Linked DNA regions of Arabidopsis thaliana. The protein of the gene in region 2 interacts with the protein of the main gene of each other region in a biochemical or structural test. Each region holds a gene or a part of one and is shown on either strand. Other genes may lie near its edges.

Region 1 (7,748 bases), on a different chromosome or scaffold from region 2:
AATACAATCAATCAAAATAAACTACATAAACATACATTATGCAAAGAAATTTGAGAAAATTAAATAAAATACAACAAATAAAACTTATTGAACCAAAATTTTATCAGATTTTTTTAGTTTAATGAGATCCTATAAATTTGGATTTTGAGAGTATTAAGTGAACAAAAAAACAAGTGTAAGTGAACCTAATTACGAACCGGGTAACCGATTTACTGGTTTAACCCACCAAATCCGCTGTAATTCCAAAACACACTGTTGAGAAAAGTAAGAACCCAAGCGAAACAGAGAGCCTTTAAATAATTTCCATTTCATTCTCATATATACAAGAAAAAAGAGAGGCCTAGAGATCACAAGACCAGGTCTACAAAATTATCACAGACCTTTGTTTGTTTGTGTTTTTTCTTATTTATCCTATAAATCTATATAATCCTTCTTCCTTTGCTCCCATCCTAAAGATCTTTCCTTCTGTGTCTACTACATCAACAACCTGTAACCGCAACTAACCCGAGCTTCATGTGCTTCTTTTGTGACCATCATCGTCTTCTTCTTCTTCTTCTTCTTTATCTCTTATAACATCTATCACCGTAGCATTGCAGAAAAAACATCTCTGACAGTTGAGAAGATGTCTAGTTATGCAGCCATAACATGATCGATGTGAACACGGAGCAATCATTGCATTAGCCTCCCCCGCGTAGCAGATACAGCAAGTGTTGTCTTCTATATCTGTCGTGTCTTTGTTGAATGACTCTTCTTTTCTTTCGGGTTCTTGCGATGAAGCCCGGTTTATGAGATGGCTCAAGAAGTTCTCAAGCTGTCCAAGTTTCTTTACATAGGCATCATCCCCGCTTACACAACCGTCCTGAAAATGTTTTTGAAAAGCTGTGTCAGTAGGAGAAGCAAACGAGCAGAAACTAGATTTAAGAGCTTACGTACCCAATTATATTCCAAGAGATACTGAAACCCGTAATAGACTGTATCGGGACAGTCCATGCTTGCGAAAAGACCAATTACATCATGTTGTTGCTTTGGTTTTGAGTCTTCACTAGCCTCCAAGAGATTCAAGATTATACCAACCAAAGGAGCTAATAAGATCCCTCGGCTAACTTTCTCTGAAGGTTGTCCCTGCCGTCTAAGTGACCTGACAGATCTCAAAACAAGAAGAAAACAATATCAATTAAAAATTAGCGATTTCCAACAAAGTTAGAGCTATTTGGGATATTTTTGAACTTACAGATCAAAGAACTCGTCATCTACTGCTGAGGTCATGTGATTCAAGATGAAAAGAATCAACTCAGTGAGCCTACGAAGATTCGTGTCAGTCCCAGCAAGAAATGCTTGTGGCATTGCGTAAGTGCAGAATTCTAAGACCCTTGCGAGATTGCTTGAAAGCTCAAATATCACACAACATTTCCTTTGCTGAAACTCCATTACCTGCATAAAGACAAGACGAATCAAAAACCGGACAAAGAAGCAAATAGAGTACTACAAAAACTTGTAAGGGAAATGCAGAATAAGAACCACAATCATTCAGGGAAAACTATTCAATTACTACGAAAACTTAATCGATGAAAATGATCCAAGCTTATAATCTGACCTGATACTTTTCTTGCATTTCTCGCACCGAGACAGAAAATTCAGTGATGGTCCAGCTCAGTGTGTTGAATAGACGGTTAAGAAAAGTAGAAAGTAATTCACCATCATTGATACAAGCATCTCGTAGAAGCGCCTAGACGAAAAAGAAAATCAAAATCCAATATGTAGACTGAGGATCAGATAGGAACAAAGTCAAATCAATCTAACCAACCTGGAAAACAGTAGACGAAAACGAAGACTCTCCGTTCTTTAAAGAACTAAACCCAGAACCTTTGCAAAGACGAAGAAATATATTTGTGACAGGGATCCAAGATCTGTTGTCAAACGCTGCCAGTAGTGCTGCAGGCATGTGTCGAGTAGCTGCCTCATTGTTCTCGAAAGCTTCCAAGTACTCTTTGTACTGTACCAGGACGGATATTGACTGGAGAAGTAGATCTTTAAGATCTGTATTCGATATCCTTGAATCGTTGAAGTGTGTAACTACGAAAGTGATCTGGAAACCCAAGAATTTGCAATGACCATGTTAGAGCTAATCAACTAACAGTCAGCCATGAGGAAAAATAACAGACAAAAAAGATTGTGTGATAAGAGTTTAGGCATACAAATGATGAAAGTCCTTGTTTGATGAATGTTGTTGATGGGACAAACGGAGGATCGCTCTTGCGAAGCACATGGAAACAGTCTACCTGAGGAAATAATCAAAGAGATTGTAAACTTAGGGATTTCATTGAGAAACAGAGAAAACGCAACAGAATAAGTTGTTGGAAGATCTACTAACTTTGATCAAAGAGAAACTGAAACATGTTCATTTGACATTTATATCAAGAAGTACCAGAAATGTGCAAAAGCTGTTTACCAAAGATTCAAGGTAGAACTCTGGAATATAAACAAACACAGAATCCATTTTGCTGAGAACCAGAAGTAGCTGTACAACCCACATGCACAATGCATACATTCCCCTTTGCTTCCATCGAGAGAACAATGAGATGCGGAACCTGACAAAATGATTCAGAATGAGGGCAAAAATATAGATTGTAATGTTGCCTCACATGAATCATAACTGAAACCTCTTCACTACACCCTCCTTCTGGAGTTAACGCAATCCATGAGTTAAGTGAAACTTACCATGCGGAATGTCTAACACAGTCCATCACGTCTTCTTTGTAGTTGTTGCGAGCTTCCTTCAAGCGCTTTATTTGGTCACAAGAAGCCCGTTCTCTTATCTGTTTATCAGTTTCTTCAAGAAGTGATATTGATTGCGATTGGTGAGACATGTAATATGATGCCTAAGAAAAGCAGAAAGAGAACCTATCAGCCTCTCAAGCTTATTCAGGTTGTGGTATGTATCGTACAAAAAATACAACAAAATCTAATTAAGACGGGAATAATTAAAATTACCTGCTTAAAATTTGGAGCAACAGCAATATGGTATAATAGCAATAGAGCATCCAATAGTTCTTCTTCGCTTAGTATAGCAGATGAGATTCTACTCTCTTGAAGTGCAGTCCGCATAAATCTTACTGGACGATAACCAAAGTCAGGGTCAGACTGATTACTTGTGCTAGGTTTGTCGTCTATTTCTTCACTGAAACTTCCAGCACTACATTCTGCAGCAACATGAGAGGATCTCTCAGGAATGGAACTGCATCGACCACGAGAACTTTGAGCAGTATTTTTTCCTCGATCCTTCAAGGATTTAGTAAGATCGGTATCATAAGCTAAGCAACAGCATGGCTTTTGCTCAGTCGCGTGAGTTACTCTATTCTGTTCATCATCCATACAACCTTCTTCCCACCGCATTATTTCTTCTTCTTGATCATCTGTGGGGTAGGACTTCGATATATGACTAAATAGCCCGCCAAGCCTAGTAATATCAGCGCGATGTGGATCATTTTTAAGAAACAAACTCAATGGAAACTTCTGCTGACCACCTCTGTGAAGAAAACCAACATTGTGATGGACGGCTTCACTACTCTTCAGCATTGCAAAACCTTCTGACAAGAAGTGGAGTATAACTGAGAACAAAGAGACAAGAACCGAATTGCGTGTAACTCCAGAAGGGGCCAGAGTCCTATCTGCGCCTCTGTTCTTCAATAAAAGGTTCTGTAGGAATCCCCTGAAAGCTGAACCAGGAAGCTGGGGAGGTGATACAGGTGGTATGAATTGTATGACCAAGAGACAGAGGTTCCTCTGCTTCTCCTCAATCTGAATTCCAAGAGAAAGAATTACTTAATTATGTTCCTCAGATTCCAGAGGAGACTTATGCCAGCGGTTATTTATAGAAAAATAAAATAAGTCAGAAATAACCTATCATACCTTGTTAATGGCTTCAGAGAGAGCGGAGATCGTAAATCCCATGCTACTCTCGTAGGATATATCTTCAGAGGATCCAGGCCACCAAACAACAGGCATTAAGTGCTGTAAGTCATGCTTGTTGGAACTCCTGCATGACAAGAAACCTTCAAACAAAAACTCGAAATGCAAAGATCTCCACCATTGTACCATCAATTCTTCCCGTTTAAACAAATGACAAGCCAGCGCCAGATAGGGATAAGGTCCGGAGTATGGACACTCGGTTAAAATCAGTGTCGCTGTTTTGCAGCCACAAGCCAGAGCGTTTACTACATGCTCAAAGATCAAATGAGATTGTGGGAACTCAAGAAACACATCAAGAACTTTGTCTAAACTTGACGAATCATGCGGTGCTTGAGTTCTGAAAGTCTCCAAGAGGAATGACAGAAATGCACCCCGTCCTAAGTACTCCGCCAACAAAGGGTCTTGCTCAAGTATATAAAAGAACTCATCACATATGGCAGACGAAACAGGGCAAAAGAGTTCTTCGACTGAGGCAAATCTCCTCAGTCGACTTAATGTATCAGCCAATGAGCGGTCTGGCCTATCCAGCAGTCTTGAGAAGCATCGTAGTAGCTCTGTTGCAAATGAAAATCGAGTTGGAGCTTCTTGAAGAGGTTGGAAACCGTCAACAGGGTACTTAAACGGGTAAGCGCCGAAATTTAACTCGCATCTCTCACCTTGGGAGAGAGATATAGCAGGGTAATACCCAAATCCAGGTCCAAGTTTTCTAATACCAGTAAATGCAGCCCCGAGGGAGACACCATTCCTGTAGAAGTAAATCTCATCACAGTTCAAATCTATGCAGCAACCGATGACATCCCCAGCAACCCATGATTGACCATAAGGTTCAGCTTCCTTGTTCCATTTGCTTACCCTTCGACCATCAAAAGCATATGAATCATCAGCATCACCCACACCTTTCTGGTCAGTGAAAGGGCAAGCAAGTGTTGCCCATCCAAGTTGTTGAATTCCCGAGGTCTCTAAAGCGACTTCATACATCCATTTTCCTTTCCAAATACAAGCATTAGCCCTGGCGCTACTGAAAAGTGCTAAGCTCTCCAATACAAGAGGTGGCTTCACAATCCTGATATCACCACATATGCTAAACTCTTCAAGGCCAACAATAGGAGGTCCAACACCATGATGAACTACACTGATTCCTTCTCTCTGACTAACTGAAACATCCAAATCACCATGAAGCTTCGAGAACTGATTCTTAATCACAGCTCTAATCAAGCTACTGTCTACTTGACCATCCAATGGACCAACCGACTTTTCTGCTAAACCAAATATGAATTCGATAGTCCGTTCTAAAGGCCGGTGACCAGAATAATCAAAATGTGGAACAATACGAGCTTTCGAGGAATTTTCTTTAGCATCTTCACCATTCAGTAAAACAGCCAAACCAGATGAAATCATACCAACCCGTAGGCTGTCTTCAGCCATATGGCATTGATTGTGAACCAAACGCGCTTTCAACACAACCAATTACAAGAGAACCAAAGTCTGTATCTATTCAACGAGACCTCATCAGAGACAATTCGAAAATGATTCAGAAAAGCTGTGAAGAGAAGAAGAACAAAAAAAAAAGTAGCATAAGTTTCCAAAAATCAATACTTGAATCAAAAAGCTTTCAAATTTATGTGATGAACAGGGATTAACAAAAAGAGAAAGCTATTCAATTTCAATCAATTAGAAAGAAAAAAACACCAAAATCAGAACGGAAAATTCGAAACTCACCGGAGAAATTGACATGAAAAGCGATTAACCCAGAAGCCAAAATCAATCAATACCCAGATTCTTCAAACCAAAGACGGCGGACTTGTGCTAGGGTTTTTCAAATAAATTAAACAGGAGAAGACTTTTCGCTTCTTTTTTTTTCTTCTTCTTCCTCGAAGAGAGAGAGAGAGAGAGATTTTGCGCCCAATATTTTTGGGGGAACAGAGAAGAAGAATTGAAGAAAGAGAGAGAGAGGAATCAGAAGACCGGTGGCTAACACCGAACGAGCCAATGGATCATGTGGCGTGTGGGTTTTTTACCGACACGTGTCGGTGTCGATGACGTGGCTGATGACGTATTATATCGACGGTCTGGTCTGGTAACTTTTATAGAAGGAGAAGGAGGAAAGTTTACGATGCGGACGGTCTTACGTTTATTTTGACACGTGGCGTAGTAGATGTTAACGTGTTCTTAAATCAAATTACAAAATTACAAAAAGTAAACAACGCTTTTTAATTTTTCTCCTTCTGTTTTCTTTTTTAGTGTTAACATTATGAGATTTGTTTTACTGAAGATATTTCCTGTTATTTGGATTAATCAAAAATAACAAAAAAAAAGGTGCTGTAAAACTTAGCAATTTAAAGGTAAAGTTAAAAGAATGTTAGTATCACCACTAACTAAAGAAAAAATCACAAAAATAATATGGTATTGTTTGAATATTCTTTTTTTTTTCATTTTAGTGTTAGTATTATGAGATTTTCGTGTAAAATTTTTGCTAAAAACATTGTTAAAAAAAATTAGTTTTGTTTATCGCTTTTAAATAGTTATTATTTTTAGTTTAAAAAAAAAAAATATTATTGTTTATTATCAAAGATGATTTGGTTTCGACTACCCGTGAAATTTTCGAATGTGATTACAGTTGTCGAATAGCGTATTTACTGTATTTTATTTAAGTGGATCTAAAATATGATATAATTATGATTAATCTAAAAAGAAATGTAAATTTAAGTTATATATCACTTTTGTAAATAATTTCTCTCGGAATTATTTTTTTTAAGTCCTTAATAATATCTTATGACAAAAAAAAAAATATGAATCTAGTTATCAGGTTTCCTTGGTAAAGAAAAATTTAGATGTAAGTTTCCTATTTGTAGATTCTATAATCATAACGGGTTTCACAAACAATTATAATACTGGTATCATTCGTTGACAAGAACTAATAATAATCTGGAGTTGACTTAATTAGAAAACTTTATTTGTAAATCAATTGTCAAAAGCCATTCGTATATTCTTAATACATTATGCAAATTAAAGAAGAGTGTTACTATAATGTATGCACGAAAACTATTCAAGTGGATGTAAAGACGATTGAAATCGACGGAACGTGACGGAGCAGTTGTTGACAAGTCACCGGAGCTTTTGCAAACTTCCGATAGACACACGACCTTGTCAACGACCTGAGAGTATAAATAATTGAAAATATCAACTCGATCTCTAAACACACCACGTGGAAAGCTATGAGACCACTGTCGGCTAATGACTAATAAAAGAAGTATCGTGCACGTGTTCCACGTTGATCAACAGCCACTTCACTGGCTGATGTCTCTGTTATTCAGATAGTGACTTAAGACGGCATTATATTGTCTTCAAGGGAAATATTAAAACGCTGCGTTTCCGTGTGATGGAATAATTTTGCAACCGTTGCCACTTTTACTTTTGGGAATTTGGTTGAACAGCAACTTGTTTTTTTTTTTTTGGTAAATATTTTTGGTTGAACTTGTCATTCAATGTAGCAAAACTTAGTAAAAATGCTACAAAACATAAAGATTTTCAAATGTGCCAAACCTCAGCTCTATGGACGATTTCCCTGTTCTAACTATACTAAAATGCATAGTTTTGGTGTAGTGATTAACAAAAATATGTATGGAATATAATCATGATGATAATGATAATGGTAAGATTATGCTTTTACTTTTGATTAAAAGCTAGTGATATGATTTGCCTCTTAATTTGAGTAGATGATTTTCAATGTTTGGTACTATTTTCATTGTTTTAGTGGGAAGAAAACAAAGAGATTTGGT
Region 2 (4,535 bases):
ACATACGTACACCATGTCCATATGTATAAATGTATAATATAATGAATGTATCTGAACGTTTCATGCATTCACTTTTTCACTTTTAGAGATTAAAGAAAAACATAGAACAATGATTGGGTTCGAGATAAGATTTCACAGTTTCATCACACTGGTTTTGCCAATTTCCAAGAAATGTAAAAAAAAAGATAAAACAACAGAGATCTTCTCAATGAACACTGTCTCATCTTTTTGTCAGTTTCTTGTTAATAATAATTTGATATTCAAGATTCAAAACACTCTTATCTCTTTACTAATTAGTACAAAATTCACCTTTGTGTTTGTACTTTTAACTCTGAACTTACATTACAGTATTTCAATGTAAACGTCAAAGTATTTACACACACATTCACGTGCGTCATAATTATGGTAAGAGAAGAAAAGGGACCAATCTTGTATAGTTGAAAGAAAAAGGATATGATTCAGATTTTTACACCTACCAAAATTCACACGTGAACCTCTCAATTGGGTCTCTTTCTTCTGCATCTGAATCATTTTTTTCACTATATGCCAAGCTTAAACATGTTCACACACATCCCTCTCAATCATCATCATTACATATAGCTTTGAATAAACATGAGAGATAGATAGAAAAACAAACACTTGAAAGAAACAGATGAGAAAATTTCACTAAGCATCTGAAGAAGATTAGTAGTACAAATGGTGTGAGGTTTTAAGGTCCCTAAGCTACTCTCAAACTTGTTCTCTAACCACATTATTACTTAAGATTACACGATTTCTGATGTTTGGTTAGTCTGTTAACTCCATCACATTCTCTAACTTCACACCATGTCTTTTGGAGCTGTTTCCTTTTGAACTTCATGGTTTGACTTGCACCCATTCGTAACGTCCGCTGAGGGGGATATCATTCACAATGTCGAAGTTGTACCTGAAGATTATTGAAAACACATGAGTGTTGTTCACCCTCTTCGTAATGACACAAAAATAAAATAAAGAATAAGCTTACTTCTCCATGAATAGCCTCTGTTGCTGCTGCTCTGCATATGCAAAGAACTCCTCCATTTCACTAGTGGTCGGGATCACGTTATCTTGTTCCCTTGTGTACTCTTTGGTTGCTCTGCACATCGACCTCGTGCTAGACCCTGGTGTAACCATGATCTCCATATCCTCAACAAAGTTACAAGGCGTGCTCTCCCTTGTGCTGCAGAAAAAAACACAGATAAAATAACTTCAATAACATTATCACCACAAAGACACTTAACCAAATCAAGAATCAAACCAAAACCAAACATCCAGAATAAAAAAGAGGCTTGGTTTAAGTAAACAACAAAAGCTAGAGACTTTCTAAGTAATATGGTCCCATAAGATAATAAATAACAAAGAGAAGGCAATCACCACATTGTCAACTAGCAGCAGGACGGTTACCCCAAAAAACAGAGGATCCTACAAAAGTATTCCCCAAGTATGCAAAAACCACTAGGTCCCATGAACATGACACCACAGTACTTGCATTACACTTATGAGGAAAGTCCCAATTCTCATATAATCTTACATATTAAAAGTTTCTGACCTTTATACAACAACCCACTTTTGTAAAAACGAAAACCATGTGTTTAAGTAAACCCCCAATAACCAAATCCCAATATTGTATACCCAATGTACAAATACTTCTTATGCCATTAGCCTAATAACAAGGAGAATCAACATGTTCTTAAACAAATTAAAATACACAAAAACAGATCAGAGTTTCACCAAATTTGTAACAAATAATGAAATACATATATAAAACGAAAATAGCTTTGACACATTCATTGATAATCTCTGCAATGAAGTACACATGGGACATACAGCAATAAATCAGATATAATGTAAATCTAACACCAAAAGAGACTTATACGGAGAAGTAGTAATAACAAAATTCAGTACATCACAAGAGAGTCAATTCATAAACAAAAACCAAACCAATAAGGGAAACATAAAAAACCTATTTTTCTCTTGTACTAAACTATTTTCATCCCCCAAAAAAAAAAAAATTGATTTGAAGCAAACAACAAAAGTTTCAGAGAAACCTAACTAAGATTCAAAACTATGTAAGACTCAAAACTAAGATTATTGGATAAGACAGAACACAAAAGTCGAATTGGTAATAAGAAAACATTAGGGCACAAAAAAAAAAAAAAAAAAACAACGAACCTGTGTCTTGATTCAAAACCGAGACTGTTTTCACCACAAGAAACTTGGACACTCACGAAATTGTCAAAACATTCATCTTCATTAGAGCTCTGAGCTACAGGAACCGAGTTAACCGAGTCAACGCGAGACCTGGAACCAGACTCTTTAATTCCCGATCTGTGAACTCTCGGCGGCTGTTTCGGTTCAATCAGCGAAGAGGGTTTCTCGAGACGGCGGCTACGGAGCTGAAGATAGCAAGAAGAGTCGTTAGGTAGAGCTGAATCAGCGGCGGAGGAATTAAGCCGCTTCAAGGCTAGGGTTTTAGCGGCTCTGGTTCGAACACCTGGACTTGGAGCTGTTGCTTTAGAGACTTCCATGACGCTGATATCGCCAGTTATCTTTGATTTCTTCATGTATTTCCCCATTTTTTGAGAGAGGGAAAAGAAGCTTGAAAGCGGAAAGAGAAAAATGAGAGGGAAAAGCTTTGAGGGAGGAGAAGAAGAGGGAAAGTGAGAAAATGGGAAAAAGGTTTTCGAGTTTTGTGGGGTTAAAATAAAACAAAGGAGAAGAAAAAAAAAGTTTACCTTTTTTATCTAATTGTCAAAAACAATATTATTATTATTATTATTTTTAAATAAAACCCCAAACTCATCATTATTATTTGTATTTTCCGTTGTGTTTTCACTTTTCATAGAATAATCGTCAGTTTTACATTTTTGATTTATTGATAATTTTTGTTGTCGAATAAATTTAAATTCATCATTTGACTAAATCTTTAACTTCTTAAAAATTAAACTGCTAATTAAATTCATCATTTGACTACGAATTTTCTATTAAATATAACGTGTATTGCATACGGCTTTTCTATTTTAAAATAAATTCTCATTAATATGATCGGTTTGTTGTTAAAAAAACAATTTTCATTTATTTAAATTTTATCAAATAATTTCATCATAAAAAGTATTGAATTTTTTTTATTGAAACCATATAAACTTAATAGTACATACTTTTAACATGTAACAACAAACAACTAGTTACATACATTCACATAGAATAAAAAATGTTTATACGAAAAATAAATTATTATTATGCACACGAATAAATATTCAACTTAAGTATTTAAACATAATATTTTTTCTTTGAAATTGACAGACTTTTTCCAAAAAATCGAGTCAACGGAAATTGCACCAAAAAATTGCTAAGTTTACAATTTTGGTATATAATGATTTTTATTTCTCAATTTAACAAAAATAAATCTAGGACTATTTTCCATAGTTAAATTACCCTTTGAACCAACGCGTATTACACACGGCTTTTTTTGTTGGATATACATGTTTCTTTTAAAATAATGATTTATTATTTATCATTTTTATCAAATATATTAATCATAAAAATTATTGAAATCATATAAAGTTAATAGCCCATACTTTTTCATTGTATATCAATAAATCAGTAGTTAAATACTTTCACATATAAGAGAAAATATTTATGTAAATTAGTAATTATTCTTACATTATGCACACTAATGAATATTAAACTTACATATTAAACATGATATTTTTAAAAATACATTGATAAGAATTGTTTCAAATTTCTAGTCAACTGACATTTCACAAAAAATCACCAATTTTTGTATATCATTATCTATATTTCTCGATTAAATAGAAAAAATCCGGGATTTTTTCTTTATAAAATTACCATGTGGACCCATAATTTATATATTTTCTATCTTTTAAAATCAATTAGTCAATCAATCATTATTACATACAAAAGTTTCACAATTTTAAGTTTTAACACGCATTGTACACGATAACATGGCTTCTACATCACATAAATATATGATCCGACAATAGTTTACAAAGAAGAAAATAAACAATTTCTTATTTACCTTAAAACATAAAATAATAAAAAATCAATATGATTTAATAAAACATGTTGATCGAAAATTCCATGGAGATTGTTGTAAAAACCCTAAAGAGACGTCTACATATACACATCAGCTACTAGTGATGATTGCTTCTTGTGATGAATTTTGATTCATTGGCATTTTATGTGGTATATGCAAAGAAAGGTATGATTTCAGTAATAAATTTTTGATCTAGGGACAATTTTCAATATTAATCCTCATTTGTTTGCTAACAACATTTATTATGCGGATATAATCAAAATGTATGTGACAATTGGGCCGCGCGAAATATAAAATACCAATCAAAACCTTTAGGAAGGAATCATCTGCAACATGTTACTACGGAGAAATGCAAGCTGGAACGAGGCAACAAAGATGAAGGTATGTATCCCACCATTATAAATTAAAATCAAATTATAATTCGGATTATACGTATCCGTAAATTCATTCTCTGGATCTG

The links. Proteins that work in one complex are often made in the same cells at the same time.
Region 1: the proteins of ICK6 (region 2) and RKP form a complex in vitro, tested with the Arabidopsis thaliana proteins (one study listed by BioGRID).

What each region holds. Positions count from the first base shown.
Region 1 is NC_003071.7:9,363,435-9,371,182, forward strand, and holds the start of RKP (uncharacterized protein), read right to left. Parts: upstream 6,028-7,748; 5' UTR 5,689-6,027; intron 5,510-5,688; 5' UTR 5,395-5,509; coding exon 3,910-5,394; intron 3,799-3,909; coding exon 2,992-3,798; intron 2,880-2,991; coding exon 2,719-2,879; intron 2,589-2,718; coding exon 2,450-2,588; intron 2,280-2,449; coding exon 2,196-2,279; intron 2,087-2,195; coding exon 1,805-2,086; intron 1,727-1,804; coding exon 1,595-1,726; intron 1,432-1,594; coding exon 1,232-1,431; intron 1,148-1,231; coding exon 934-1,147; intron 860-933; coding exon 512-859; 3' UTR 1-511. UniProt on the Arabidopsis thaliana protein: E3 ubiquitin-protein ligase that promotes the ubiquitination and proteasomal degradation of KRP1 and KRP2.
Region 2 is NC_003076.8:19,791,753-19,796,287, forward strand, and holds ICK6 (inhibitor/interactor with cyclin-dependent kinase), read right to left. Parts: upstream 2,657-4,535; 5' UTR 2,595-2,656; coding exon 2,164-2,594; intron 1,982-2,163; coding exon 1,955-1,981; intron 1,199-1,954; coding exon 1,004-1,198; intron 926-1,003; coding exon 856-925; 3' UTR 518-855; downstream 1-517. UniProt on the Arabidopsis thaliana protein: Binds and inhibits CYCD2-1/CDKA-1 complex kinase activity. May target specifically CDKA-1.